Linked DNA regions of Ovis aries. The protein of the gene in region 2 interacts with the protein of the main gene of each other region in a biochemical or structural test. Links are inferred from orthologs where the notes say so. Each region holds a gene or a part of one and is shown on either strand. Other genes may lie near its edges. The genes, in order: PTPN7, MAPK3, GAB2, ELK1 and MBP.

Evidence for each region.
Region 1: the proteins of MAPK3 (region 2) and PTPN7 form a complex in vitro, tested with the Homo sapiens proteins (3 studies listed by BioGRID, with this or other methods). The link is inferred for Ovis aries from reciprocal best matches to the Homo sapiens genes MAPK3 and PTPN7.
Region 3: of the proteins of MAPK3 (region 2) and GAB2, one has a biochemical effect on the other in vitro, tested with the Homo sapiens proteins (2 studies listed by BioGRID). The link is inferred for Ovis aries from reciprocal best matches to the Homo sapiens genes MAPK3 and GAB2.
Region 4: of the proteins of MAPK3 (region 2) and ELK1, one has a biochemical effect on the other in vitro, tested with the Homo sapiens proteins (6 studies listed by BioGRID and IntAct, with this or other methods). The link is inferred for Ovis aries from reciprocal best matches to the Homo sapiens genes MAPK3 and ELK1.
Region 5: of the proteins of MAPK3 (region 2) and MBP, one has a biochemical effect on the other in vitro, tested with the Homo sapiens proteins (5 studies listed by BioGRID). The link is inferred for Ovis aries from reciprocal best matches to the Homo sapiens genes MAPK3 and MBP.

The regions. Positions count from the first base shown.
Region 1 is NC_056065.1:79,808,835-79,815,082, forward strand, and holds the start of PTPN7 (tyrosine-protein phosphatase non-receptor type 7), read left to right. Parts: upstream 1-2,423; 5' UTR 2,424-2,478; intron 2,479-3,130; exon of another isoform or gene 3,131-3,156; 5' UTR 3,157-3,305; coding exon 3,306-3,442; intron 3,443-3,840; coding exon 3,841-4,024; intron 4,025-4,273; coding exon 4,274-4,358; intron 4,359-5,440; coding exon 5,441-5,517; intron 5,518-6,248. UniProt on the Homo sapiens protein: Protein phosphatase that acts preferentially on tyrosine-phosphorylated MAPK1. Plays a role in the regulation of T and B-lymphocyte development and signal transduction.
Region 2 is NC_056077.1:26,690,648-26,696,963, forward strand, and holds the start of MAPK3 (mitogen-activated protein kinase 3), read left to right. Parts: upstream 1-2,576; 5' UTR 2,577-2,598; coding exon 2,599-2,771; intron 2,772-3,798; coding exon 3,799-3,981; intron 3,982-5,816; coding exon 5,817-6,006; intron 6,007-6,168; coding exon 6,169-6,285; intron 6,286-6,316.
Region 3 is NC_056074.1:15,344,004-15,349,715, forward strand, and holds part of GAB2 (GRB2-associated-binding protein 2), read left to right. Parts: intron 1-3,464; coding exon 3,465-3,765; intron 3,766-5,712. UniProt on the Homo sapiens protein: Adapter protein which acts downstream of several membrane receptors including cytokine, antigen, hormone, cell matrix and growth factor receptors to regulate multiple signaling pathways.
Region 4 is NC_056080.1:57,190,021-57,195,402, reverse strand, and holds the end of ELK1 (ETS domain-containing protein Elk-1), read right to left. Parts: coding exon 5,155-5,382; intron 4,501-5,154; coding exon 4,033-4,500; intron 3,088-4,032; coding exon 2,986-3,087; intron 2,902-2,985; coding exon 2,803-2,901; 3' UTR 1,499-2,802; downstream 1-1,498. UniProt on the Homo sapiens protein: Transcription factor that binds to purine-rich DNA sequences. Forms a ternary complex with SRF and the ETS and SRF motifs of the serum response element (SRE) on the promoter region of immediate early genes such as FOS and IER2.
Region 5 is NC_056076.1:2,416,801-2,423,307, forward strand, and holds the start of MBP (myelin basic protein), read left to right. Parts: upstream 1-2,606; 5' UTR 2,607-2,621; coding exon 2,622-2,811; intron 2,812-6,507. UniProt on the Homo sapiens protein: The classic group of MBP isoforms (isoform 4-isoform 14) are with PLP the most abundant protein components of the myelin membrane in the CNS. They have a role in both its formation and stabilization.

The DNA.
Region 1 (6,248 bases), on a different chromosome or scaffold from region 2:
CAGAGGCAGGCGGCGGGCAGTCTGGGCGTGGTGGCTCCCTGGCTCGAGTGCCAACGGTCTCTCCCCTGCTGCGTCCCGGCGTCCATCCTCCAGGCCCGCCCCTTCACGCCCACCGCGGCAGCCTGGCCTTGAGCACCCCCACGCCCGGAAGATAGTCTCCCGGAGGAGAAGGGCCGGAGGCTCTGGATGGCCCAGCCTCCCACACCCTGGGACCTCTCCAGCTCTCTGTGTCTCTGTCTCCCCCACACAGCCAGGGACACGAAGCCTGCTGGCCCAGGGTCTGGAGGGGTGTGGGGGGCACCTGGGATCAGGGCTTCTCCTCTCAGAGGAGCAAAGAGGATAGGACGGGCCGGGGCAGCCGGGCCCCCACAGTGGGCCAGTCCTGAGACTGCCTCGGGGGCTCTATCAGGGCCCGCCTTTGACCCCAGGGCAGGCAGGTGCTGCAGGAACCGGAAATTCCCAATACACCAGTACAACACGCAATACTCAAGACCCTGGGGCTCCCAGCCCTGGACCTGGGGAGCGGCTGGAGGAAGGGTGCGGGGCTCTGCTGAGCTGCGGCTCGGAGACCTCAGCCCCATCACCCCTTCCTGGGGCCACTGGACGGCTCCGAGCACCCCTGGGCCCGCCCTCTGACCGATGAGGGAGGGGCGCTCCTCGGCCCCTGGGGAGAGGGCTCCTGAGAAGCAGGGAGGAGCAGGGACCCCCGTCTCAGCAGGGCTCAGGAGGGGCTTCCTGGCTTCCTGTGCCCCCCACCCAGCTCTGACGCACATTGGCAGGAGGAGTGAGTGGCCTGAGAGCTGCCGTCGGGGCAGGTCCACGCCAGGAGCAGGGAAGGCTCAGGACGGGAGTCACTCCCGCAGCCTCCAGGCCTTTGCCTGCACCCCGCAGCCTGGATGGGCAGAGTCCACCCCGGACGGGGCCCAGGCCAGGCCGGGGGATGTTGAAGGACCCTGTCTTCTCTGAGGCTTCTGCTGGCACCCGGCCCCCCCCAGCTGTGTCTGCACCTCCAGCGAAGTCCAGGCATCTCTTAAGCAGAAAGGGACATGGGGTGAGCAGGAGGCAAGGTGAGTGTCGCCCCCAAACACGGCCAAAGGGACTGAGCCGTGCTTGGGGCCTGACCTGGCGCCAACCATTGCCCACCCCGCCCCCGCCCACTTGCTGCACCTCTGGGCCCCCAGCTCTCCAGCCAAAACCTCTGCCTGCAGCCCCTCAAACCCTGAGGGGAGGGGCGCTCACAGCCCGCAGGCTCAGACCTTGGGGGCCTGGGGGCACTGGCGGTGTAGTGCGGGACACACATCCCCGCCTCCTCCCCCCACTCCTGCGGTATCCTAGCTTCCTGTTTGTGATAAGAATCAGCAGCCTGCCCCAGAGAGGGTGGCCCTCTTTCCAACCCCCTCCTGCCCCCTTTCCTTTCCCAGGCCCCCCGCTACCCACTAGTGGAAATACGGGTGGGTTTCCGGCCGGCTGAGCTGGAGGCCACGCCCCCCGATCTGCCAGGGTCCCCAGACTCCTGCCCCATGCCCTCCACCTGGGCGTCCCCGGCCTGGCCCCTGAGCACCAGAGGGCCACCCTGCCCTGCCTGAAGGCAGCCCCCCACCTCCTGCATGCCACCCCAGGCCTGTCCCCAGCGCTTTCTGCTGTCACCTTCTGAAGGCTGAGTCAGGGAAGTGGGTGGTGGGGTGAGGACAGGATTGTGGGCCCCGGAGGGGAGGGGCAGGTGTCGGGGATGTCAAGAAGCCCACCAGGTGAGCCAGGGGCAGGGCAGTGGGGTCTTGGGGTTTCCCCTACCCAGGGCCCAGGCTCCCAGCGCCCCAGCAGCAAAGCAGACATGGGGGTCCCCTTGTGTGAGAGCCAGAGGCCCACCCTCTGTGGGTCGCTGAGTAGAAGTCAGGGTTCTGGAAAAAGGCCTGTGGGGCTGGGGGCAGGGGGAAGCCCCCAGACCCTGCCACGAGGTGTCTCCACTGCCTACCTCCAGAGTGGCTGACCTGGCTCAGACCCGCTCGGAGCTGGGGGCCTGAGGTTGACCCTGTGGCTTGGCCTGAGCCTTTCCCTTCATGGAGAGAGACTCCTGCCCCCCTTCCCCATCCCCGTGTGTGCCTGCTTCTCCCTGTTCCTGCTGGGATTCCCGCAGCTTGAAGGGGCAAGGGCTTCCGGGGGGCAGCCTGGGGTGGGGGTCGGCCCCGCTTCCCCCAGCAAGCAGGCAGAGGCAAGAGGCGACCAGAGCCCGGAGGAGAAGCCCTGCAGGGGAGGCAGTGGTCAGGGCCGGGCTGTGGCCAAGGTGTGGACAGGCTGGGCCGCGGGGTCAGAGGCGGGAGGCCACTGGCCCGCTGGTGGCAATAGGCAGCTGGGTGTGCGTGGGTGGCAGCGAGGAGGGGCGGGGGGAGGAAGCGGGCTTCCTGAGGCCTCCCCAGCCCTGAGACACACCGACAGACAGGCAGACAGCTGGCGAGAGGCGCCTGGGGACACAGCCGCCTCGTAAGCACCTGCGGGGCGGGGAGGAGCCCTGGGGCCCCGGGTTGAGGGACACGGAGGGCCGGGAGGGCGGCCCCGGGAGGGCAAGCAGGAGGGCGCCCAGGGGGTCCCGCGCCAGGTGGGCAGGGGCGCCGCCGCCGCTGATGGCCCCAAGGGCGCGCGGGCATGGCGGGGCGGGGAGGGCAGACAGGCGTCCTGCTGTGACCGCCCTTGCCCACTCAGACCCCATGGGTGCGGCGACCCCAGCACCCCTCTCAGCTCCAAGCCGGGCCCTGGCCTGGAGGTGGGCCGTGCCCTCGGTGAGGCACCCGGCTTGTGCCCCCAGCTGTGGCTCGGTGAGGCCACTTCCTGTGACAGTTACTGCGGCGGGCGGGGGATGGGCGGGAGGAAGCCAGCACCCCCAGGCCCCCTCCCGGGCCGGAGACCCCAGAGGCCGGGACGACCCTGGGTGGAAGGGCCGGCTGCCCTAAGCACACCGGAGGTCCACCTTCTTGTCCAGAGGAGGCCCCTGCAAAGCCAGGGTCGTGAGCCCACCCTCCACCCAGAACGGCTGCACGCCGCCCACCCCCCAGCCCCTGCCCCTCCGGATTCCTCCGGATCTGTCCTATCTCGGCCCCCGTCGTGACCCTTTATCTCGCCCCCGCGCTAACCCCAGGCGGCCGCCACTCTACGCCCCTGCAGAGATCCTGGCCTTCCCACAGAGCGACGCCGCCACTTCCTGGGGAACAACGGAAGAGCGAGAAGACCCGAGGTGCCCAAGGGCAGAAGGCCACCCAACAGCCCAGAGGCCAGGCCACATGGCCGTGTGAGCTCCCGGGCGCGCCCCCAGCATGGTCCCGGCCCGGGGGCTGCTCCAGAGCGCCGCCCCGGCCTCCCCGTCGCCTTCACAGTCGCCTTCGGAGGCAGCCATGACCCAGCCTCCGCCTGACCAGGCCCCAGCCAGGAAGCACGTCCGGCTGCAGGAGAGGTGAGACCCTCTCAGGAAGGCCTGGCCGAGCCCGCTGCCCCCCGCTGCCCCTGCGGCGGGACCCCCGCGCCTCCCCAGGCGGAGGAAACCAAACTGCTCATTTGCATATCTGTGTCAGCTTTGCGCCTGCGCCCCAAGCCCCAGGCTGGGTTGAGCACCCCTCGAGGGGCCCGGAGCCTCCAGGCCTGGGTGTGGGCCTGAGCTTTAGGGGCCGAGCCAGGAATGGGAAGTGGGGGCATCTGGAGGCGGCAGCTGGGTTTGGAGCCTCCTCACTGGCCAACAAGGGGCAGGGGTGCCGGGGGCCTGGGCCTCGGGGTGGCGAGGAGACAGGGAGCCCGCCGTCAGCGGTGCCGGGACAGCCGTGGCTGCTGAGGCCGACCACGCTGTCCCTGCTGCAGGCGCGGCTCCAACGTGGCCCTGATGCTGGATGTGCGGTCCCTGGGGGCCGTGGAGCCCATCTGCTCCGTGCGCACGCCCCAGGAGGTCACGCTGCACTTCCTGCGCTCCGCCGGACGCCCCCTCAGCCGGCAGGCCCTGCAGCACCGGCCGCCCAGCCCCACGCAGCTGGAAGAGGAATTCCTGGTGAGAACGAGGGCCCCCCGAGTCACTGCCCCTCTGGATCAGGAGCAGCTGGCAGGCCTGTCCCCGTGGGCCCTTGGGAGACAGAACCCCAGGGGCTCCAGGAAGGAGACGGCTCCACCCTCTCCCTGCACCCCATCCAGACCTGCCTCCCGATGCCAGGAGGGAACGGGGCCCCTCCACCAGAGGAGTGAGGGAAGGGAGGCCGGGAAGGGGGCTGCTGCTCACACACCTACTCCCCGCCCCCGCCAGAGGATCCCCTCAAACTTCGTTAGCCCCGAAGACCTGAATATTCCTGGCCATGCCTCCAAGGACCGATATAAGACCATCTTGCCAAGTAAGGACTGCGGTGGGGCCGGGGTGGAGGCGCTCAGAGGGCAAGACGCAGCCCCAGCCAGGAGGGGGCTGCCCCGCGTGGGGCCTCTTCTTCTGACAGAGGGGTGCCCCCGCCTGGCCCTGGCCAGGGAAGGGGGGCAGAAATCACGCCAGCCTGAGACTAGGCCCGGACCATGGGCCAGCACTGCTCAGCGCGGCCCCGGGTAGGCGGTGTGTGCTGCCCTGACCCCCGTTTTACAGATGAGGAAACCGAGTTACAGAGAAGCCGCGTAGCTCACCTGAGGTCACATAGTCAGGCGCACCAACCCCCTTCCTCCTGTTCCTCCTGCCTGGGAAACGGCCCGCACTGTCTGCAGGGGACAAGCCCCGTTTGGACGGCTCCCAAGAGATGCTGAGGATCTCAGACAGAGCAGGAGGCGGCAGGCAGGGTTCATGGGGCTGACAGACCCGGGTCAGCACCTCCTGTATTTGGAGGCACGCATGGGGCCCGCTGACCACGAGGCCCGCTGACCACGAGGTCTCCTCCCTGCTCCGCGAAGAGCAGCCTTATCTGACCAGCAGCCCCCAGTCTGGAGGCCGCAGCCCGCTGCTAGCCTGTTAGTGCCCACGGAAGGGATGGGGGCAGCCTGCTCTGGGCCCCGAGGTGCCCTCCACCCAGACCAGCTGGCCCCTGGGAGCCAGCGTCTTCATCGGGCCCGGACTGGAGCTGAAGAAAGGCCCCCTTAGAGGCTGACTCAAGGGGTCAGGCGGGTGTGGGATGGAGCCTGAGTTCCAGTGGGGTCGCTCAGGAAAAGCTCTTCCTCGAACATCTCTCTCCGTTTTTATTGCTGTGACCCCTCTCCGCCCCTCTCTGACCCTCAGGCTGGAATGCTCAGTAGCTGCCCCCTGCCGCCGGTCCGTCCTGCTGGCACCGCCCGAGGCCTCCCCGCACTGCCCTGGCCTCAGGCCTCTGCTGCTCAGGAACGCTCTGCGACCCCCTGCTCTTCGAGGGCGCCTCAACAGGCATAGGGCTGTCCTCTCGCCGGCCCTGGATGTGGCTGCTTTGCTGGTCGCTCTTTGACCTCTGCTGGTTTTCCCTTCTAGACCCCCAGAGCCGAGTCTGTCTGGGTCGGGCAGAGAGCCAGGAGGACGGGGATTACATCAACGCCAACTACATTCGGGTGAGTTCCTGGCTGGGAAGGGGGTGCTGTGTCCAGAGCCACCCCCGCCCCAGGACACCACCCAGCCCAGCGGAGCCCCTGGTGTCCTGGCTCCAACCCCGTAAGCTGCTGGAACGGGCCAGGATGCACGCAGCAGACGTCAGGAGCTGGAAGGAAGACCCCAGTCCCCTTTGCCCCTGGTCCTCCACACCTGCCAGCCTCTCCGTGGAGAGCTGCCCTGGCCACTCCAGCCCAAGACTCCCAGGTCCGCAGCCCAGTGAGGCGTTCGGCCAGCTCCCTCCCCTCTGCCTTCGCTACTCCAGGCGGCCCCTCCTTCTCGGAGGCAGCTTAAGTCAAGGAATTAAGGAACCAGAGGCCGGGAGGCCAGGTGGACTCCACGCCTAGACTTGTCCCCAGTGCCCAGTGCCCAGCCTCCGGCCTGCAGGGTGGGAGGCGGCAGGCGCAGACGCGAGCCCTCCGTGGCTCTGAGTGGGTGGGACACCGGCCGGGAGCGGAGGTGAATAGCCCGCATCAGCCACCTGATGCGGAGAAACTGACTCTTTTGAAAAGACCCCGATGCTGGGCAACACTGGAGGCGGGAGGGGCAGGGGACGACGGAGGGTGAGGTGGCTGGATGGCGTGGCCAACTCGATGGACAGGAGTCTGAGTAGACTCCAGGGGTTGGGAATGGACAGGGAGGCCTGGCGTGCTGCGGTCCATGGGGTCGCAAAGAGTCAGACATGAACTGAACT
Region 2 (6,316 bases):
AATCTCCAAGAAAGTACCAACCTCGGCCACTAGAGGGCAATCTCAGTCACACGGCTCGAAAGGAGACTCAGATACCACTGAGGTGGCAGGCACCCCTCCGGATACACCAGCCTTTCCCATGCCGGGAAACTCACTCCTACTCAGGAAACCTGGCTCCATGCTGAACTCCATGGTGTTTTCTCTGAGTCACTATATTCTCCTGTAGTTGCAAAATGATCTGGCAAAAGTCCCTGAAAGGCTTTTTGCTGCTTACTGAGTAACATCCAAACTCCTTGCCAGAATCAGAGGCCTTCCTCAATGTGGCCCCAACCTACCTCTCCAGCCTAAACTCCCCTTAACCCTTCATAGTGCAGACATACTGGACAACTCGTGCTCCTGCCTCCGCGCCATGGTTCACCCTGCTCCTTCTTCTTGAAGCCTTTGCTCTATCCTGACCTGAAACTCTGCTTCTTTTTAGCGATGCAATGCTACCTGCTCGGTTATCCCCTCCTCACTTCTGTAGAGCAGCAGTCCCCAACCTCTTTGGGACCAGGGACCAGTTCCATGGAAGACAGTTCTTCCATGAACAAAGGGTAGGGAATGGTTTCATGATAATTCTCATAAGGAATGTGCAACCTAGATTCCTTGCATGCATAGGTCATAGTAGGGTTCACGCTCCAATCAGAATCTAATGTTACCCCTGGTGTGACAGGAGGTGGAGCTCAGGCAGTAACATGAGCCATGGGGAGTCGCTGGAAATACAAATGAAGCTTTGCTCCTTGCTAGCCTGCCACTCACTCCTGCTGCGCAACCAGATTCCTAACAGTTGCGGGAGATCCCTAGAGTGATCTTGCCCACCCCTGAGCGTACCCTACATATTACACCCATCCATTCTGGATTACAGTGATTTCTGTTTGTGCATCTTCAGTGGAAGAGAAACTCCATAAGTAGAAAGGCCAGTGGGGTAATGTGCCCAGGATAACATGACAAGTGGCCTAAATGGGATTCTAATCCAGGCAACCTGATTCCAGAGAGCTCTTGCTCTTAACTACTAATTCACACTATCCAGTAATCTTTTATCAGCCCTAGTTCCTAGCTCAGAGCTTTGCACACAGTGCCAGTCAATAGCTTATCAAATGAATAACACCACCAACAAAAAAACCCATTGATCTAATTAGCACATCTTGAACCTTCACTGACTTGTGGGTTCCTGGGAACTAGCAACTCTCAGTGTTACTAATCTGAATTAGAATGCCTGACCATAGATCTAATTATGAGCAATTTCAGAATCATAATTTCTGTTCCATTTTGTCTCTTGATCTTTAGTGCATACAAGGACATACTCCCAGCTTCCAAGGAAGACAAAAACAACGTGATTACTTCCTGAAGCCTAGGAGATGTGTTTTGTGAAGCTCCCAGCTCACATCTTCACTGTGAAGTGGAGATGGATTGGATGGTCTCTTCAGTTTAACAGTCTGGGAGACAGAATGCAATTAAAAAGAACTTCTGCCTGTGTGTCAGAAGATACATGTTAGTCTCAGCTCCTCAACTCTCAGATTTCCCATTCTGTAAAACTTTGATTCACCTATTCCAAAATTTTTGAGTGTCTACATTTGACTGTAGGGATGGGGGTGGGTGGGGGCTACAGCAATGAACAAGACAGACATGGCCCTCTGCTCATCCAGCTCAGAAAACCAGATGACACCTACACTGTGGGGTGGTTCTAATGAAGAAATTAAAGTGGACCAAATGCTGTGTAAACTATGAAGTCTAGCACAGGAGCAAAAGATGATGATCTCGGTTCCAATTTTTGTCAAATCCAAGGACAACAAAAATGTTAGCTATCCTGCTGTTTCTGAGTAAAGCCTGAGAGTGTATTTTTCACCAAACCCAGTCCACGCAGCCCTCACCTCTTCCCTATGCCTCCATGTAAAGGTAGGCTGGGATTATCTGTCCTCAGGATACAGGCACTGCCAGGTTGCTGAGGTCCGGTCCCTAGCCCACTTTGACAGGTCTCCATTCGAAAACCATTAGGCAGGGAGTCAAGATGCCTGGGCTTTCCAGCAATCAAGTTACCTTGCCCAGTCACCTTCAGTTTCCACATCTGTGAAAGAGGCCCCATGTGTGAGGAAGCCACCTGTCACGGCTACTATGAAATAAGCATCATATCACTCGGCATCGGGCCTGGCTCCAGGAGGTTCCACCTCGAGCCCCGGGCTACTCCTCGGGCCGAGTGGGCACAGCGGGGCCACGTGGCCCGGTCTGGGTCCCAGCTCCAGCACTCATTTGCTAGGTGGCTCTGGGTGAGGTCACCGGGCCGCCCTACCGGTCAGCATTCGGTGGCGGGGGTGGGGGGGGAGGGTCTGGACAGTCTCGAGACTGCCCTGGGGAGCTTCTACGTTGACTGGAGCAGACGAGGCCGACAGGTGCCAGGGACCACAGCCCCAGCAGCGGGAAAACGGCGCGCGCGCGGCGGGGAGAGTCACGTGACGCCGCGGGGGCGGACGGGGGCGGGGCCTGGCGCGCGCGGCTCCGCGGGTGAGAGGGCGGGCGGGAAGGGGCGGGGCCTCGGGCGGGGCCGCCGGGGGGAGGCGGGCGGGCGGGAGGGGAGGAGTGGAGATGGCGGCGGCGGCGGCGGCTCAGGGGGGCGGGGGCGGGGAGCCCCGGGGAACTGATGGGGTCGGCCCGGGGGTCCCGGGGGAGGTGGAGATAGTAAAGGGGCAGCCGTTCGACGTGGGCCCGCGCTACACGCAGCTGCAGTACATCGGCGAGGGCGCGTACGGCATGGTCAGGTGAGGGGCGTTCTGGGGGAGGGGGCGTCTCTGGGGAGGGGGCGGAGAGGGGTGCTGAGAGCTCTCTGGGCCTTGCGGACTCTGAGCATCCTGAAGAAGCCGGGGCTTCAGGAGGCTGGGGAGCGTCCCAGGCGGAGGGCCTTTGAGTGCTTTCTGGGGGAGGGGGTCACTGCGTAAGGTCTCAGGAGAGGAGGTTTGGGAGCTTTGAACTGACTATTCAATAATGAAGGGTAGGGCATCAGAGTGTATGTGGGGGAGCTCTGGGGACCTTGGGGACCCCATAATCACGGGGTGAGGAGAAGAGAATTAGTCTTCTTGGGGAGGTGATATCCTTAGTGAAGAAGGAGAGAGGGTCCCCTCACTGGGGAGAGGATGTCTTGGATCACCCCCCAGTGAGGCTTGCCAAGGAGTTTGGGAAAAAAGAGCAAAGCTCAGGGCTGGGTGGGGTGGGGTGGGGCTTTGGGCCTGGGGCCAGGGACCCAGTGAGCCATGAGGGGTCCAGGAACACCTTCCTGCAACTTTTAGGAGGGGTCTGTGAGTTCTCCTATCCGCACTGGGTGCTCTGGGCCTTTGTTCAGCTGGACATAGCTCTGCTGCCCAGGAACCTCCCCCTGACACCCGCCCCGGCCCTGCCTCTCCCTTCTCTCCAGTCCCTCCTCCGACTCCCTCCTTCTCACTGTATTTGCCTCATTGTCCAGTCCTCCACATCTCCCACCCCCTGGACCCGTCTTGGCTTGAGAGAGCCCATCGTGGGAAGGGGAGGATGAGGGGTCAGGGCAGCTCGAATGGAAAGGGTTGAGGAGAGGGGAAGTCAGTGAGCGGTCAGTCTCTTCCTCTGTTTGTGAAGTCACCGAAGGGCTGGCTGGCTGGTCCCCAGCTTTCTCCCTGGAGATCCCAGGCCTTCACAGCAGGAAGGAACTAGCATTGTTTATGACTGGCCAGAGCCCTCTCCTGCTCCCTCCCCGCCCTGCCAAGGCCTGGGTGGGGCCACCGGGCCTGGACACCAACATCTCTCTGGCCCTCTCAGCTCAGCTTACGACCACGTGCGCAAGACTCGAGTGGCCATCAAGAAGATCAGCCCCTTTGAGCATCAGACCTACTGCCAGCGCACGTTGCGAGAGATTCAGATTCTGCTGCGCTTCCGCCATGAGAATGTCATTGGCATCCGAGACATTCTGCGAGCACCCACCCTGGAAGCCATGAGGGATGTGTATCCTTCACCTGGGCCAGACGGCTGGCCAGGCCCAGCCTCAGAGCCGGGCTGGGAGAACAGGGGCTTGTTTTCTCTTCCCTTCTTCCCAACCTCCCTCCAAACAAACCCAGTAAAGGAAACTTTCCAGCGGTCAAGAGGCCACAGTGTAAGAAGGCAGAGAGGCCTCAGATGAATCCTGGCCTGCTGCGGCCAGGCAGTGTGGCCTTGGGCAAGTCTGTTCTCTCGATCTTGGCTTCGTAGGGGGCTGGGCAAGATGAGCCCTGTGGAAGCTTTGTCCTCTGACATCGGCAATTCTGTGAGGAGATCCAGCCTCTGCCCACAGTCAGCTCTTCTGTTTAACTGATGGCAGTTCTTGTTTCTCTGGGTCCTCAGACTGGCAGGAAGGCAGGCGGGAAGAACACTGCCCTGTTTTGAGGGCCTACTGTGAGTCTGGTGCAGCTCAAGCCGAGTGCTTTGACATTTCCTATTCTAACTCCCAACTGCCCTAGGAGATGGGTCTCAGCAGCTCCATTTCAAAGATGAGGAAACTGAGGCTCAGAAAACTGAAATAAAATCAAGTGCTTCTGTGGCTGCCTCTTCCCCTCCCCCAGACAAGAACCTGTCCCCTCTCTGGGACTTCCTGCTCAGAGTCCCACCCCAGTCACCTGTGGACTCGTACCTTGCCCAGGGAGGAACAGACCTGCCTTTGTGGCCCCCCCGACCCACACACACACATTGCTTTCCTAGTTTGTGGGTCCACTTCCTGCCTGGCTCTGTTAGGAGCTTTTACACTCATCACCTCTCCCCTACCCCACCCACCCCCACCATCCCAGTCCTTCCCCCAAGAGTGGTGATCTGTACTGCACTGTTTGCAGCCCCCACCACAAACTGTGGGCAGGAAACTTCCACACTCACCCTCAGCTTGTCGTGTGACCTTAACCAAGTCACTGCAGCATGCCGGGCCTCTTCATCTTTAAAATAGCAGGGTTGGTCCAGGTGTTCTCGGAAGGCCCTTTTGAGGCTGACTCTGAAAGACAGCCATAACTGAGTCTTCCAGAAACAACCCACATGACGTTTATTTGTTTGTTTATGTTTAATTCTTTTTTTATCTTAGAGTATAAAAGGACATTTACTCCTCTGTCTTCGGGTGTAGGGCCAAGCCCCCGGAGTAGGAGCGTGCCGCTGGGAAGTTTCTCCTCATTCGTCTTGCACAAACCATCCCCATAAGGCAGGCATTTATTTTTAAGCAAACATTTATTGCCTGCCAGATGGTGTTCATACATAATCTCATTTAACCTTCTCAACAGCCATGTGGCTCAGTCTTTTATAACAGCAATACTAGTTCACATTTGCCGAACATTTACAACGTGCCAGGCACCAAGCTGGCTGCACTGCCTGGGTCATCTCTCAACTAATCTTTACCACCACTCTCTAAAAAGGATTTTTTTTCCCCTTTACAGATGAGGAAGAGAGGCGCAGACAGGGCTTGAGTTCCTAAAGTGAATGAATGACCAGTGCAGGAATGATTGACAGTGGCAGGTGAACTCCAGAGTTACTGCTCTTAGCTGGGACGTTCTCCTGCTTCCCAGTTTATTATCCCCATTTTCTCAATAGGGAGACTGAGGCTACAGAACTGCGACGCTTTGCTCAGGGTCACCAGCTGAGATCCAGCAGAGGCCTTGAGTTCACCTGCTAAGTGTGGGCCTTGCCCAGCTCATGATATGAGCTGGCAGATCTGTTGAGTCCCAGGGGCATCAGCTGGAGGGATGTGAAACCTGGTCAGCAGAGTCTGTTCTTCTTAACCAACTGCCTCCCACTGCCCCCACCTGGGGGGCCTCTGGCACCCACCTCAGCTACATCGTGCAGGATCTGATGGAGACAGACCTGTACAAATTGCTCAAAAGCCAGCAGCTGAGCAACGACCATGTATGCTACTTCCTGTACCAGATCCTGCGGGGCCTGAAGTATATCCACTCCGCCAACGTGCTCCACCGGGATTTAAAGCCCTCCAACCTGCTCATCAACACCACCTGCGACCTTAAGGTCTGAGGGTTGCGTGCCTGTCTCCTTCTGCCCCTGGGGTCTCAGGCTTCAGGGTGACCAGTAGTCCCCTTCCTGCCATGGGTAGGAGAGACATGGGTGATAGGATTGGTTGGGCCCAGGAGGCCTTGAGCACTGAGCTCAGCAGCCTGGTTTGCATTCTAGATCTGTGATTTCGGTCTTGCCCGGATTGCTGATCCCGAGCATGACCACACTGGCTTCTTGACGGAATACGTGGCCACACGCTGGTACCGGGCCCCAGAGATCATGCTTAACTCCAAGGTAGGGGGCCCACCCACCCGTGAAGGGAAGA
Region 3 (5,712 bases), on a different chromosome or scaffold from region 2:
TTTCCATCCTAGGAGCTGGGTAGAATCAGCAGCCATACGGTGTTGTAGGTGGTGTGAGTGCTGGTGAGATCAGCATAGCAGAGTAAGGGGGAGAGAGTGTGACGATTGGGCAGCCAGAAAAACAGTCTGTCCAGTAATGGGACATTTAAATAGTGACTTGATGGAGTACATAAGCAATGGGAATATGTGGCGAAGGAGTGTTCCAGGCAGAGGGAACAGCCAGAGCAGAGACCCTGAGGCAGGAGTGTGTGGCCAGCGTGGCTCAAGCAGAATGGGCGCGGCAGAGAGGGGCAGGGCTGAGGGGAGAGCTGTGGGTGAGGCGGTGTCGCCCAGTGCTCACTGGCCACTGCGGGGACTTCAGCTTCTGCTCTGAGTGCAGTGGAAAGCCAGAGGGCACTTAATGCAGAGAAGTGCTATGCTCTGATTGACACCAGCTTCCACGCTGGGAACAGATTGCCAGATGGAAGCATGGAAGCAGGCAGGCGGCCGAACGGTGGACCTGACCAAGTGCGTAACAGTGGAGGTGTGGAGGAGTGACCGGGTTGTAAATGTGTTTTGAAACTGTTTGGACCAACAGGATTTGCTCTTGGGTTTGGAAGTTGATGACTGACATCCAGATTTTTGGCCTGAGCAGCTGGAAGGTTGGAGCTGCTCGTAACTGAGATGGGAAACATTGCGGGAAGAACAGACTCGGAGGATGGGAAGAGCTCGGTTTAAAGGAAGTTTGTGATGCCAGGGCTTCCCAGATGGCTCAGTGGTTAAGAATCTGCCTTGCAAAGCAGGGAGCGCGGGTTCGAGCCTTGGTTAGGTAGCTACGATCCCATGTGCCGTGGAGCAGCCCAGCCTGAGCGGTGTTGCCCCTGAGCCCTCGCGCACAACTAGAGAGTCCATGCATCTTGATGAAAGATGCCATGTGACACAGCAAAGCTTCCTCATGCCCCAGCTAAGACCTGATGCAGCCAGACAAATAAAATATGTTTTTAAAGAAAGATTTGAGATGCCTATTAGTGAGGAGCAGGTATGAGACTCTGGAGTTCTATAGATGGGTTTGGGCTGGAGCTATAAATTTGCGAATTACAGCAGTTAGATGACTTTTAAAGCTGTGAAATGAAATAAAATAACCTAAGAAGAGGATATAGAAAGAGGAGAGTCTAAGAACTGAGCATGGGGGCGTTCTAGCCTTTAGAAGTCAGTGAGACAAGGAGCAACCAGAACTGGAAGCTGAAAAAGAGAAGCTGGGAGGTAGGAAAATTGAGAGTGAGCACTGAAGCCAAATGAGGAAAATGCTTCAAAGAGAATGGAATAGTAAACTTTCTCAGATGTTGCTGAGAGATCAAGTAAAATCCAAATGTTGCTTTGTGTTGAAGTCTTTAAGACCTCTGTTGAAGGAGATGGGGGTTGGGGGCAGCCTGCTTGTATTGCTTCCAAGAAAAGAATGGGAGGAGAGGAAACAACGATTAACACTGTAGAAATCTCTGAGGTTTTTCTGTAAAGAGGAGCAGAAAACTGGGCCATAGTTGGAAGGGAATGTGGGATCAAGTCAAACTTTTCTTTTTTTTTTTTTCTGAGATGGGACAAGTTGGTGTCCTGATGGGAATGATCCTAGGAGGGAGGGAAGATGCCATGTGCTGTCCCCATGTCGTGAGAGGGGGTGATGCTCTGGCGGAAGAAAGTGGGCCTTAGACTGGATGAACCATCCATGCTGCACAGTAATAAACTGCTTTGCTATAATGCAGGCAGACTGGTAAATACGGGGATGGAACATGTGTAGATTCTCTTCTGCTTGCCTGTATAGTCTCATACCAAAGAGTGGAGGTGCTACAGCTTTAAATAGGGCAAGGTTCAGATGATTGCCAAGAGCAACAGAAAATCAGGGACCAGACAAATGTAGTAGACTGTTGGAGCAGGAGGGCTCACTTGAGCTTAAAGTGAGAGGAGCCAGCGTGGTTGTGTGATTTTCTCCAGCTCTGAACAGCTGAGTGGAAACAGGCAGAGTAGGCTAAGCATTAGACTTAGTCAAAGGTTATGGTTTCCTAGATAAAGAGAGGAAGAGAAGCAAGAGAATGATTATAATGATGGATCACAGGAACAAGGCAGGTGGAAGGAAGTGAGGATGGAGACAGAAGGGGAGAGTGCAAGGTGCCAGGATTCATGGAGTGAAGTCCCAGTGAGGTCTAAATAACCGCGATGATCCTTGGCATCAGTGGCGCTTTAGGACAGAGGAGCTGGAAGGCTGCAGTCCATGGGGTCGCTGAGGGTCAGACATGACTGAGTGGCTTCACTTTCACTTTTCGCTTTCATGCATTGGAGAAGAAAAAGGCAACCTACTCCAGTGTTCTTGCCTGGAGAATCCCGGGGACGGCGGAGCCTGGTGGGCTGCCGTCTGAAGAAAAAGGCAACCTACTCCAGTGTTCTTGCCTGGAGAATCCTGGGAACGGCGGAGCCTGGTGGGCTGCCGTCTATGGGGTCGCACAGAGTCGGACAGGACTGAAGCAACTTAGCAGCAGGGTTGCATCATAGTGCTTTGTGTGCAGTATAAACCCTATAAGGTAGGTAGGACAGTTGGTGATGGTATTCTATTCTGTAGATAAAGCAAGCTCCAAAGAGGTAAATAACTTTATGTGAAAATCACACAGCTAGTCGGTGGTGAAGCACAGACTCCACCCGAGGCTCTGTTTTATTTGTGATATCTTTTTACCACTTTGTGTGATGTCTGCTCACAGATTACTCGGTCTCATTGAAGACAGGGAATGTAGACAACATAAGGAAATGTGTAACTGAGTGTTAAATTCTATAATATGGCATGACATAAGGAGTTTATTCATTCAGTAATGTATATTGAGTGCTTATTATGTACAGGGCTGTATTATAAATACTAGGGATATAGTATTATCCACTATATATAGTGACTGAGATGGGGGAAATTCTGAAGTTTTGTGCTTCAGGGAGGTTTTAGAAGGGTTTCTGTGTGGTTCCTCCAAGGCATCATGATTGGGTAAAAAGCACCAGGTACTGAAAGCTTGGAAACTTTTTTCTCCGCTACTTGCTGTATGTGACGTTGTGGCTTCAACTCAGTCTGTCTTAGTGGGGGACCCCATCCGTAAACTGAGATGTTATGGCTTTGCAAGTTCCACCCTGACTAAAAGTCCTGTGAGTTTGAGGCTGTATTCTAGCTTAATGGAATAATTGTGTAAAGTGTGTTAGTCCTCATCTGACTTCTTGAAATGACGTATCTCGTTTCATAGTGATAAGACCCTGTTTCAGTAATGAAATGCTGCACTAATGTGTATGCTAAAGTCATCCGCTGTTTTTTAAACTCTGGGAAAGCACAAAAAGGAGACAGAGGCCACGCTCGGCTGGCAGGTGCAGCAGTCCCCACCCTTAGCCTGGTGATATCTGAGGACCTGTGAAAAGCTTTGAATTGACTCATGACTTTCCCCCTGCTCTCACTCCTTCCCGTTCAGGCCTGGAAGAAACGCTGGTTTATCCTGCGGAGCGGCCGGATGAGTGGTGACCCCGACGTCCTGGAATACTACAAGAATGATCACTCCAAGAAGCCCCTGCGCATCATCAACCTGAACTTCTGCGAGCAGGTGGATGCAGGCCTGACCTTCAACAAGAAGGAGCTGCAGGACAGTTTCGTGTTCGACATCAAGACCAGCGAGCGCACCTTCTACCTGGTGGCCGAGACGGAGGAGGACATGAATAAGTGGGTCCAGAGCATCTGCCAGATCTGCGGCTTCAACCAGGCAGAAGAGAGCACAGGTACGAGACGCTTCTCAGCAGGGACCAGGTGCCTCCTGGCAGTGGCTGGGCCCCTGGGGCCAAGGGGACGGCCTTCAGACTCCTTGAACAGCAGGGCAGGCTTTAGCTAAAGGCTGTCCTCTGAGGTGGGGGAGAAGTAGGCAGAGGGGAGGAGTCTGAAGGGCTTGGCCACAGGGTGGAGGTCCTCCTAGCCCTGAGTCTGCTCATGTGGAAAGCAGGCATGTTGGGGTTATGATGAAGCTCGAGGTGCTGCTGGTATTTCTTCAGGTACCTCCGCGCCACCCCGTGTCTCAGGCCTGCCCTTTCTCCCCTCAGCTCTCCAGCTCTCTGTGCCTGGTTAACCTGTCACCCACACACGGGCGGCTTGCACCTTGCTCTCTTCTTTGATGCATCCTCTGTCCACTCCTGTTTCAGAACAACGTGCATAGTTACACTAGCCGCTTTTCTGGTAAGGGGAGGTGTGGGATTCTTTGTGAGTACTGTTGATGCACAATCCACTGTTCTTTATATTTCCCTGGAAACGGACACATGAGAAGGGGGAGATTCTGACTTGTGTTCAGATTTTGTTAGCCTTCACAGAAAGAGTAGCTCACCATTTTTAAGTGAGGCTTCAGCTGCAGAAATGCTCTTTGCCATTTGTTTGGGCTCATCCACAACTCTAGGATGATTGAGGAGTAGGGTTCTTTTTGTGTGTGTGGCAGATGGAAAGCCTAAGTTAGTAGTTTCCTAAACCTGGTTACATATCAGAATTAAAGAGGAACATTTTTTAAATGTTGATGCTAGGGATCCATATCACATCAGTTAGCTAAGAATGTCAGGGGTGGGACCTAGGCATCAGTCTTTTAAAAGCTTCACACCAAGTGGCAAGGGTCTGGGGCTCAGCATCCATTTTCTGTAAATAATTGAAGGCCACATACAATCTCTGATTCCTATACCTGTTTTGTAAACTTCTTAGAACCCTTTAAAAACATGAAAACTGTTTCTAGCTCATCAGCAACGTCAGCCTCATCTGGGAACCCATTAGAAATGAAGATTCTTAAGCCCCACCCCAGACTTAGTGAATCAGAAACTCTGGAGGTGTTTTAACCAGCCCGCCAGGTAATCTGATGCATGGTTAAGTTTGAGAACCACTGATTCAGACTCTTACTATCAGAGTGGAGTTTATGGACGAGCAGCATCAACCTCTCCTGGGAACTTGTTACGAAGACAGAAGACTTCTACTCACTCAGACTTACAGGATCAGAATCTGCATATTTTTTTCAGTTTCTTATTCTGAAATAATGTTGAGCTTACAGAAGAGGTGCAGAAATTGTACAGCAAGTTCCCATGTACCTTTCATCCAGCTTTCCCTAACCTTAACATCTTTCTTAACCAGAGTATACTTGTCAAAATGTTGATTGGTACAAGACAGTCAGTTGCAGTGTATTGGGATTTCACTTGTTTTCCACCAGTGTCTTTATTCTGTTCAGGATTCAGTCCAGGATAGCATATTAGATTTGGTGGTTCTGCCTCTAGGGCCTCCAATCTGGGATGCCAGTTTCTTAGTCTCTTGTTTTTCTTTGACCTTGACACTTTTAAGGCATACTGGCTAGATATTTTGTAGAATCTCCCTCAGTTTGAATTTGTATGATGTTTTTTCATGATCAGATTAAGGTTTGGCGGAGACTACCACAGAGGTAGTGTGCTTTTCTCTGCACGTTGTATCAGGAGACACATGGTATCAATATACCTTATTACTGGTCGTGTTGCCTTCATCACTTGGTTAAGATGGCATCTGACACCTTCTTCCCCTGTAAAGCTGCTACCTATGCTTTCACAGTTAATAAATATTTTGCAGGAAGTACTTTAATGGTGTGCAAATACCCCATTTCTGCTTAAAATTTTGCCCACTAATTTTAGCATTGATCAGTGAATCACGTTTGTAACCGTTATTACCATGGTATCCTA
Region 4 (5,382 bases), on a different chromosome or scaffold from region 2:
CTGACTAGGCTGAATTTCACTCATGCACAATCAGTGTCTCAGACACTGTCTTAGTCACCTAGTCTCACATTTCTTTGCAACCAGCTTTCAACATGCCCAGTCTTTGTTCTACAGTCTTTAAAGTCTCTTTTAGAGTTTTTCACAGACCCTCAGCCTGTCAGACATTCTGTCACAGGTTCAGTGTCACAGTCACTTGCCCTCATTCACCCTTTGACATCCTGTAGTCACTAATTCACAACTGTTACTAGGCTCTCTGCAAGTCTCACACACACAGTTTCTCACAGCTCATCTTAGTTGTTTACACCATCCAGCCAGAGTATCCTGTACATTCAAACACAAATAGAGCCTCCCCGATTTCTTGCACAAACTGACCGCACAGTCTCTCAGTGTCTCATTTGCTCAGCTTCATTTTCTGTTTTTCACCAGCATGTAATCTCTGGTTTACTATATGAAATGTTCCACTCTCACACACTGCTCAGTCATCAGTTTTCTCTCATGTGGCGCTGACTTCCTTCTTTTACTCCTCGCTTCTCACTCACAGTGAAGTGGTCTCTAGCACACTTCCACTCACTCTGTCTCACCATCATCTTCTCTTATACCTCCATGGTCCCTGAACCTGTTGGCTAGATTGGAGTAGTAACTGCATCCATATGCCACTAGGCTCAGGAACACACACACACACACACACACATGCACACGTACACACACATTACAGCCTCTCACACTCTCTCAGCTGCAGCCACTTTTTCTGTTTCTCATGCAGTCTTTGCTAGTGTTTAATCTCACAGAAAGTTTTCATACATACAATCACGCATTCTGGTATCTTAAATCTCAGGCACCCATCTGGCCTCATAGCTATTTTCTCTCATACAATCAACCTCTCACACACACGCTCTCATTACTTTAGTTGATCCAACAGCCTTGCATGAACGGTTTCACACACAACCCATCTCCTAAACACTGAGTCACCTGCCTACTTACAATGAAGTTTCTCACCTATGCACTGTCCCTGACAATCTCCACTGCACTTTCAGGCCTATACAGGCTCTCACATGTTGTTTTGGTTACTCTCTCTTGCTCACCATCAGCTTGTCCAACAGTGACTGATGAGCAGTCCCCACTTCCTTCTCGTAAACATTGTTTCACACAAAGCACCAGTTTCTGGCATAGTATCTTAACCACTCATTCAGTCTTTGTGTTTTTTTACCACCCAGCCACAATTTCTCACATAGACACAATGTCAAGTTTGTGGTTACAACTTCTACTCTCTCAATACATGACTTCACAAATGTACATGTGCAATCACAGCTTGCCAGAGTTTTCTCTTTTTCACACACCTGGTTACCAATCTGTAGTCTTTACTCTTTCTGACACACACCATCATGCTCTCTCTCCCATGATCAATCTCACACCCTTATGGCCTTTCACACAAAGTTGTGCCTTTGCACACAGTTATTCCCAACGGCTTCAGGGAAAAAAATGCTACCAGCCTTCAGCATCACCTTTAAAAATATATATTTACAGGAACAATTCCCCATTCTCTGGGACTCTTAGAAAAAAAATCCATTTGGGAGGAAGTAAAACAAACAGTGGAGACAGGTGTAGCACCGTCCCCCAAATCACCAAGACCCAGGTCCCTAGGCCCGGGCTGGGACGGTGCTGATGGGAGGTGAACCCAGGAGTCCTCTGAACCCACCCTCCTCCAGCCTGGAATTCAGATTGAGCAGGCTTTATGTCCCTTGTTCCTCCCTCCCAACTCCAGGGACACATAAAGGGTCCTTTGTACCCGCCCGCAGGAAAATTGGGGGACTGGGAGGGAGTTGAAAATACACATTTGGTATCAAAAATAAACACTTGGGGGTGGCAGGGAGATCCCCCAAATCCCTTCCTTCCCACCCACCCCATCTCAGATATAGGAAGAGATACCTCCCTCTCCCTTATTGAAAAGCCCTGTTTAAAAATAGATTATACTATCAAAATGGCAGGGGGTGGGGGACAGGGAGACCTGGAGTACTGGCTGAAGGGGCCCCCCAGACGGGGACCACTCCCCCAAAATCCCTCCATTGGGAGGTAACAGGCAGGACCCCAGGAGTTTGGCAGACACAGGAATGGCTTCTCAGGGGGGAGAAGAACAAAAGGGGCATTCCTCCCTGGCCGAAAAGGTGGTTGAGAAAGGACAACCTATCTGAGAGAAAGGCTGGGGAGGTGGAAATTCCCATCTCCAAGGGTGTGAGTCTTCCTTGGCCAAGACTCCCAAACCATTAAATGGCACAAATTCTTCCTGGACCCTTGGGGAAGGCCAGGAATAATAAACTACAACAAGCTAGCTCTTCTACCCATACCCCAAAGTGAAGACAGGGCTCCCTCAGCTCCCCAAGGGCAGGCTGAGAAATAAATAAAGAAAGGCCTGTCTCAAGCCAGACCCCGATTGTCTCATCTTGGGGAAAAAATGTGGAACACGGGGGAGATGCCCTTGCCACCCCCTCCAAAAGAGTTGGGCCAGGCTCCTCCCAGTGGCCTTCAAAAAATAAATAAATAAACCGTCCCCACCACTGCAGTAGGAGACGTATAAGAGCGGCCACTGGGGGACTGATCAAGAAGAGAGAAGTTGTATGTTTTTTTTTGTGGAAGGGTTATTGAGAGATTCTTCTTCCTAAGAATCCCTACCCAACCACAACTGGAGCACGAGTCTGTCAGCTGAACTATGTTTCTCCTTGAGACAGCTGGCTGGAGAGAAGTTCAGGGCATGGAAGGAGTAACCCCAGAAAGGGGTGGTGGTGGTTGTGGTGGTGGTGGTGATAGTCATGGCTTCTGGGGCCCTGGGGAGAGCACCACGGGGGTTGAGAGGCCATCCACGCTGATGGAAGGGATGTGCACCTGCGCGCTGCCACTGGACGGAAACTGAGGACAGAAATAGGGAGAGGTCATGGATGGGGACCGTGCTAGGGTCACTCACACTTTCTGAGATCGGGGAGCTGATCCTACCTGGAAGGAGAGCTTGGCCGGGCTACGGGGTGCAATGGGACTCAGGGTGCTCCAGAAGTGAATGCTGGGGGGCAGCGAGCTGGGCGTCAGCAGCACCGGGGTCTGTGGGGAAGGGATGGTCAGAGCACAAGTGAGCAAGAGGGCAGCTGTGGGAAAACCAAAGGAACTTGGTTCTGGCCCCACCTGATTTCCCACTCATACTTCCAAGATCACTCCTCAAAAGTGCACAGGCCTAGACCATAACTACTGAGGCCATGTCTGTGACAGCTCTGACTTCACACAGACAACTCTAACTCCAGAGGGCCCACCCCAGGCAAGACCACCTCCAAGAGCCCACCCGCTGTTTTCAAACCTCACAATCCCAGTAGCTCAGGATCAACTTCCAACTCTTATCCCTGACCTGCATGCTGCTACTGCTAAGTCACTTCAGTCGTGTCCGACTCTGTGCGACCCCATAGACGGCAGCCTACCAGGCTCCCCCGTCCCTGGGATTCTCCAGGCAAGAATACTGGAGTGGGTTGCCATTTCCTTCTCCAATGCATGAAAGTGAAAAGTGAAAGTGAAGTCATTCAGTCGTGTCCGACCCTCAGCAACCCCATGGACTGCAGCCTTCCAGGCTCCTCCGTCCATGGGATTTTTCAGGCAAGAGTGCTGGAGTGGGGTGCCAGTGCCTTCTCCGCAGACCTGCATAACCTCACAGGAAACCCGCTGAGAAAATCTCAGACCCCAAAAACCCCACTCAGGTTCCTCAAGCCATGCCTCAACCCAGAAACAGTTCCTGCAGAAAGCCTCTTGGTCCCTGCCCACAAAACTCCCCAGAACCGCCCTTCTTTGGACACCTGATCCTTGGCATTGCAGACTCCTCCATCCAGTAGCAATCACGCCTGTCCCTCCACGCAGCCAATCCCACTCGAAGGCTCCACCCTCTCACTCTTTCCGAGGTAATCGCATTGGCCTTCGCGGTAAGTCTCCCTCCCCCACCCCGCGCCACCCCGCCCCAATCCCATTTGTTCCAGGTGCCAGCCCCGCCCCTTCAAAAGTGCTCACCAATGTGTGCGTAGGTAGCAGGGAAGGCGTCAGCGCTGGACCTGGCGCCTGTAGACCTGAACCAGTTCCCGATCCCGGAGTCCGTTCGGGTCCTGGTCCACCCAGCAGGCTCGGGCTGAGTGGAAGCTCCAGGTCCCGGGGCTTCCGGCCCTTCTGAGGCTGGGCAATCTCCGCGCTGGGTGTTGTAGAAGCCGTGAGGCCGCCCACCTGCGCCGCAGTTTCCATTACGACAGCGGACAGCCGGGCTGGCACGCCCTCTGCTGGAGGGACTTCTGGGTCGACTTTGGGCTCAAAGGGCTCGGCCTTGACGGCTTCCAGCACAAACCCCGCCTCCCCACTGGCTGCAGCTTCTAACTCTTCCTTGGGCTCTTCCACTTTGACTTCTGGGGGCAGTGGCCGGCCCAACCCAGGCTCCATGTTTGGCTCTTCGGATTTAAGGTTTGGGGCCTCGGGTGGGGTCAGGATGACCTGGGAGAGGAACGAGTGCAGAAGGGATGCCTAAGGATTCCTGGGGTAGTGAAGCCAGTTATTTCCCATGGAAAGTGGGACCTGAGAATAGGGGCAGGTCCTTTAACAAGATGTGGTACTTTGCCAAGAAAATGGGGCTTCTGGTCCTCTTATCTGGGTTGCCTTCAGGGGTGGGACTCCAGGAAATACTGCCCCCATGTATAAAAGCAGTGGTTCTCAAAAATTTGCTTTATGGACCAGCAGCATACACCTCATCTGGAAATTTGTTAAAAATGTAGACTCTTGGGCCCATCCTCAGACTCACATAAAGAAAAACTCTCGGGGTGTCCCTCAGCACGTCTGTCTTTAAAAGCCCTCTAAGTGCTTTCTGATGAGTGCTAAAAGTGTGAGAGCCAGTGCATTAAGCAAATACATTCAAGGGCACCTACTACATATTGGGTGTACTGCTAATTGTAGTGCACTCAATTTCCTTCTTCCTTCCCAGGGTTTTGAATAGTTTTCCTCCCCATCTCTTTCTCCAAGGGGACTTCTGTGTCTCTCCTTCCATTATATCATCTTTAACAGGACATTATGTCCCTCCTCTTCCCAGTCCCTCTCTTCATTTGGGAACTGTACATCCCTCCTCTTGCTGAAATTCCATATTCCAGTCCTTACCTGCAGAGGCAGGCCAGCCTCCTCAGCTTCCAGGCAGGCCTCCAAGGGGTTTGGACTGGTGCTCCTGCTCCCCGAGGGAGGCACTGCTACTCCTGCAGGGCCGGTGTTGGGGAGCACTGTGGAAGGTCGAGGGTGAGAGGGCGGTTGTGGCTGCAGGGACTGGATGGTGAAGGTGGAATAGAGGCCTGAGCGCATGTAATCATTTCGGCTGCTGCGCGCCAAGCCACC
Region 5 (6,507 bases), on a different chromosome or scaffold from region 2:
GATCTCACCGGAGAACAGAAACTCTAGACGCAATTAGAGTGGGAGGATGATATCTATTGTGTGTGTACACATTTCCTTCAAAAATATGCTGAATCCAGAATATCCTTCTGTAGCTCAAGAGTGAATGGGTCTTACGGAAAGCAGTTTGCTTTTATTTTTATTAATAAAATTAAGCTATTCTTAAAGAAAAATGCTAGATACATATGTATATATACACACACTTTTTGTATAAATACAAAAGCAACAAATTGATGGTAGAAAAAGGCATGAAAGATGTTTTTTGTTTGTTTTTTCCCACACAACGAAAGTTGTACAAATCTCCTTGCCTTTTTATTTCTTGGATAAAAAGAAGTGACAGGTGGCTTGTGTGTGTGTATGTGCGCGCATGTGGTCAAGAGATCTCTCTCAAATGTTTTCCTTGTTTACATAACTTTTTCTGTTACACGTTATGGAATTCATGCACCTAATTTTCTGGCACTCACATCTACAGTGGAGTCTGTTCGGTTATTAACTGGAATTTATGGCAGAACCATCAAGCCTCAATAGTGTACAAGTAGACTATCTGCTTTGTGGGTATCGCCAGCAACTATTCATCACAAACCAGAGATGAAAGTGATTCTAGGTCTAAGCAAAAATATAATTCCAAAGATACATCCGTTGATGAAGGGATTTTTTAACTCATGCAGTCTGGTCTCCTGGACATTATTTAGATTAATTTCCTGACTTCCTTCAGTTTGGGTAATTTGGAGATTTAACTGGACTGAATAAAAATGTACTGAGTGTGTACCATGCAGGAAACTTCGTGCTCCTGCTCCAACATGAAATGCGGAAGGCTCCTTCCTCTCATCATATGAAGAGCAGTGGGGGATAGGGGGAGTGGTCGTATACCTTGCTCAGAAATATCAGAGACAATGAGGTTTGGATAGTTTATCTTTTACCTGTCAAAAGACCCATTTCAACTTTATTGAAATTAGTAACATAAACCTCTGTCACCGTGCTCACAGACGCAAGACCATCTTCATGTGAAGTGTGACCCCACAGCCCCAAGGGGAAGCGGCCCCCTCTGCCTCCTTCACGCTGGTTCCTCCCACCAGCACGAGGGGCCCGCCAAACACCCATTCATCACTTTATCGTGTTCCTTGCTCCCTCGTGTACACTGTCCTTGAAGTTCCCATGAATCAGGGGGCATTACATCCCCCAGTACATGCATGGTGGGATTTTATAAACACTGTAAGGACCATGTTAACTGGAACTTGGCAGGACTGCCGTTTGCAGAGATGGCTGCTGGCATCGGTGACGTTTCTACAAGCAGGCAGCAGGGCAAACATTGCTGCTCCCCTGTGGCCTGGGCTCCCCAGTGTTCAGCCCTCACTGACCTGTGCAGGTCAGAAGGCCATCCTCCTGTTTCCTGGTCACTCCAGGAAGACATCTGGGGGAAGCAGATGAGATGTGGTTTGTGATGCTCAAGTGAAAGTCGCTCAGTCATGTCCAGCTCTTTGCAGCCCCATGGACTGTAGCCCAGCCAGGTTCCTCTGTCCGTGGGATTTCCCAGGCAAGAATACTGGAGTGGGTTGCCATTCCCTTCTCCAGGGGATCTTCCAGATACAGGGATCGAACTGGGGTCTCCTGCATTGCAGGTGGATTCTTCACTATCTGAGCCACCTAAAACTGACTTCCATGTGGAACCTAGTATATATGGGGGTGGGGGGTGGGTTGCATTTTAAGAGTGACTGGAGTCAGGGACCTGGGAGTCAGGGAGCTTCTGGGGTCTGTCAGTGCCCTGAGCGTCCTTGGATTCCTCCAGCTCCCCTACCGGCACCCAGCCACCCTCTACTGCAAGGAGGGAAGGCCCCACAGAAAACCGGGAAACAGGTAAACTTCACCTTCTGCACAGCCCGCGTCACTGCTCAGCTGTCTTCCTGACCTCCCATCTCCAACTCCAGAAACCCCCAGACGAATCTTTTCCGAGGAAAGAAGCAAATGTTTCTGCAATGGTGGACACCGTTCTGGTGGCATTACCAGCCCTGGAACGTGGTTCACAGACCCCCGGTTTGTGAGGGCTGGCTGGGACAGGTGGCCCTGAAGCCACACTGGGCGCTGGCTCTCCTCGCGCGCTCTGCCCGCCCAGGAGACCCGGGTTGAGCCTTGCCAGGGGTCAGACTTCCGCTCCCCCGGGGAAACAGTGAGGGTCCCCGCCGGCTCCCGGGAACTATCAGATCAGACCCCCGACCTGGAATCTAAGTCGTGAGGACTCCAGCGTCTCCCCCAACGCCTCCTATTTTTCCACCATCAGGAGGTCGAGAATCCGGGGTGGGGGTCGGGGGAAGGGCCATCTGACTGTGTGCAGGTGACTGACGTCCAAAGGACAGTCTTCCTTCGGACCAAGAACTCGACACTGACCGCAAGCCAACAGATGCTCAGGCCGCAGACCCCGGGGCGCGCCCTCCCGCTGTGGCGCCGCTCTCCGGCGAGCACCTGTCTGTAGGCTGGATGCACGAGGACCTCCGGGCGTTCTCAAGGGGCCAGTCTTGCGGCGGCCCTGAACCCCGAGCCCGCGCAGCAGAGTCAGCCGGGCGGCCGCGCTTGGCCCCTCGCCGCCCGCGGAACGGGGCGTGGAGCAGATGCTATCGCTGGTCCCTCCCCGCGCTCGGGCGGGGTGGTTCGCAGGCTCAGCCGCGAGCGGAGGCTCTAGAGCCGCAGTTCAGCCCGGGCCGGAGTCCGCGCCGCCCAGGGCAGCCCCGCGCGGGGCCCGCGTGCGCCCGGAGCCCGCGAGGCGGAGCCGCGGAGAGGCGGTCGGCGCGCGGGCGGCAGGTGGGAGGCCCGGCTCCCGAAGGCAGTGTTTACCTGGCTCGCAGGAAGCCCGGGAGGCGGGGGAGGAGCGGCGGGCGCGCCGGGCCCTCGGAGCTGCAGCCAGACTGCGCCGCCGCGCCAGCGAGGACGAGCCTGCGGCCCCGGCGACCGCGGCCGCGACCCCGAAGGCGGCGCCGGAGCCCCGGGACCCCGCGCGCTTGGGGCCCCGGCGGCGGGAGGCGGCCCGGACCCCGCGGCGCCCGCGGCCTGGAGAGACGATCGCCGCGCGGTGGGTGACCTCGCCGGGGGCGGGCGGGTGCCTTTGTCTGCGCCCTCGGAGCGGGGACGCGGGAACGGGGCGCAGGGCTTCCCCGGGCGGCCGCGCAGGTGGCGGCAGGTGGCACCCGGGCGGCCACTCTGCGAGGGGTGAGCGCGGGTGTAGACGCCGACCCGGAGCGGCGGGGCTGTCCCCGACGGGTGTCCAGGTGTGGGCAAGGCCGGGTCGGGGGCCGGGGTCGCGGGCAGAGCGTAGGAGGCGCTCGGGGTGGAGTTTTGGGTGGGAGGTGGCAAAGGTCAAGGAGGCCACCCTGGGCGGTGCGGGACCGCTGCGAGCTTCAGGGCAGGCCGGGGTACCCGCCGCTTAACGCGCCCCGTAAGGATACGTCTGGAGCTTACCGCCGACTCCTGCCTGCCCCCTCCCCCAGCCCGGGCGAAAACCAGTTTCCCTTTGAACGCCGAGGGCGGCGACAGGCGACGCTCCGGGCTTCCGCCTTCCGGAGGCCTGGCCTGGCTCCGCCGCGCCGCCGCGTCCACCTGCGCCCACCTGCGCGCCTGGCGCCCGGGTGTGAAGCCCCCCCTGGGCCCGGGACTGGCCGGCGTCCCGAGGGTGCCGCGTGCTCTGCACGATCCCCAGGCACCCGGTGGCTCTGGCTCCTCTGGACTGCTGGGGGCACTGCCTCGTTTCTCCCAGGCTCTCCTTTCTCCTCTCCTTTCGGAAGGCAGAGGGTGGGGTTGGAGAAGCCTTGGAGTTTCTCTGGGGATCTCAGTAGGACTCTGGCAGGAAACAAGCGCCTTTGGGTTTCTGGTTCTCTGTTTTCCAGTAGCGACAAGGTGAGGGAGTCCATACCGTGAGTTCACAACCTCTGCAGCGCGGCTGGAGTGTGTCTGGGGAGACCCAGACCCGGTTGGGGGCGCTGGCTGTTCTGACAGGGACTCCACACCTGGCCTGGAGAGATTCTCAGAGGAAGGGCGCTTTAGGGTGTGTCCCATTTAAGACATGTGGCTTTTGGACAAGACCCCCCAGCCCAGGGAAACGGTTTGCAGAGTATGGCCCAGGAGTCTGCGACACCCCGAGAGCTGGGCTCAGTCCTGCCCCCGGCTCCCTGGCAGAGTCACGCTGGAGTGCTGGGGGCCTTCGTGGACGTGGGGAGCTGAGAGGGGTGCAGACCCAGACGGAGCTAGGCCGGAGCAGCCCTTCAGGAAGGGATGGTCAGCACTGGGTCGCAGCCTCACAGCTGTTTCTCCCAGTTCAGGGGAGGGGCCGTCTGTTCTCCAACTTTTTTTTTTTTTTCCAAATGGGATAAACCAAAACCTGAAAGGAGGGAATCCAGTTAAATATTATGTAAAATGGTGGCTGATAGTAGCTCCCAATGGTTTAACTGTTCCGAAATGACTACCTTTACTAACTCAGGGTTAAACAAAAGCTATTTGGTTCAAATTCACTTTAAAAACTTTCCAAACTATCCCATTTCTGCCCAAAGACAAGAACACTTTTGAGTCACTTGTGCTGTGATTTGGTGTTGAACCGCTCCAGCCTGGTTTGGACTGGGAATGGCTCTGGCCACTTGCCCTGAGGAAAGGCATCCATGAAGGCGGAAAAGGGCAGAGACCAAGGTTTCTGGCGATTCTTCCTTTTTCCTCCTGAATTTTTAAACATTAATGGGAGGTTACGTTGTTTGACTTTTAGTTTCTCTCTCGAGTCTTTAAAAATCTGACACTGGATCACAGCTGTCCCTGGGCCTTTTCTCCCCAGGTATCCAGGTAGCGTTTCTGACCACTTCCCAGTGGCCAGGCCATCTTCTGAGAGCTGCGTATCATTGCATTAACAGGTGTAATACCCTAGGATGCCCTCATTTGATGTAACTAGCCTATTAGAACTCTCATTTTCACTGAGTAGGAAACCAAGGCACAGAGATCCCCTGGGGGCGCCCAGGGCTCAGTTCCAGAAATCTGACACCAGCCCCTGTTGCTGCCCTTCAGGGCGAAGAGGGCAACTTGCAACACCCACCGAGCTGCCTTTTTCTTCTCTGGCTTCCCTGGTGGCTCAGAGGTTAAAGCCCCTGCCTGCAGTGCGGGAGACCTGGGTTTGATCCCTGGATTGGGAAGATTCCCTGGAGAAGGAAATGGCAATCCACTCCAGCATTGTTGCCTGGAGAATTCCTTGGATGGAGGAGCCTGGTGGGCGATAGTCCACGGGGTCGCAGAGAGTCGGACACAACTGAGCTTCATTTCACTTCTGTTTAAAACCCCACCACTAACGGGTGGCTACACCCAGCAAAGCGTGCTTCCTCTGCAGGGTGGTGGGACTGGAAGGCTGCTGTCTCGTCTCTGTTCGTCACCTCTTCCCTAACTTCCTCAGCAAAGATATCAATAAAGAGGGAAAGACAGTTCTCTAATGCCTCAGCACGGTTTTTAGTAAGTCATCACAAGCAGTGAATCACTTCCACTGGTCCTTTAGAGCCACTGAAGGAAGCTTAAATCAGCCTGAGCTTGCGGGCCCCAGGAGGTGGGTTTAATCAACAGTAAGTGTACAGTAATTTAACCAACAGTAATTATAATGATGCTGAAGCTCCAGTATTTGGGTCATCTGATGAGAAGAGCTGACTCATTGTAAGAGACCCTGATGCTGGGAAAGACTGAGGGTAGGAGGAGAAGGGGACCACAGAAGATGAGATGGCTGGATGGAACCATTGACTTAATGGACAGGAGTTTGAGCAAGCTCCAGGAGATGGTGAAGGACAGGGAAGCCTGGTGTGCTGCAGTCCATGGGGTTGCAAAGAGTCTGACACGACTGAGCCACCGCAAAACAGCAGCAGTTATACGTGGGGAGGCCCTGCTGGTCCAACGTCCTCCTAAATGCGTGGCCTCAGGCTTCAGCCACAGAAGCAGAACCAGCAGAGACACACACGCATGACTTAACGTGAGGAACCGGGGCCAGAGAGGCCTGCAGGCCTCAGGCCGGAGCTCTCGGGCACAAGCTGAAGCTGCCTCCAGAGAAAGAGCCAACCTCACGTTACAGCCGGGAAAAGATAACCAGTAATGCATATTATGAAGCTCTTAGCAGTGTCTGAGAGTCAATAACTGTTAAAAATTCATAAATATGGATCAGAACTCTGAGCATCACTGAGTAAGTGTGAGGCTCTATTATAATAATAATAAAAAAGATGGATGCCCGGAGAGTGAGGATAGACAGACTCGGGTGAAGTATCTGGAATGTACCAAACATTCTAAGACTCAGCAAAATAAACCACCCAAGAGGAGAAGTAACTGAGCAGGCTGGCCCAGAAGAGAAAGCCCAGGGGGGCTAGGAAAATGGGAAGGGATGTTTAACCCACCAGTTCTCAGAAGCAGAAATCACATCAATGGGATAATTTTTTATACCCATCTGTAAAGATCTTACCGTCTGTGCCAAGTATTGAGGAAGATAAGGAGAACTGA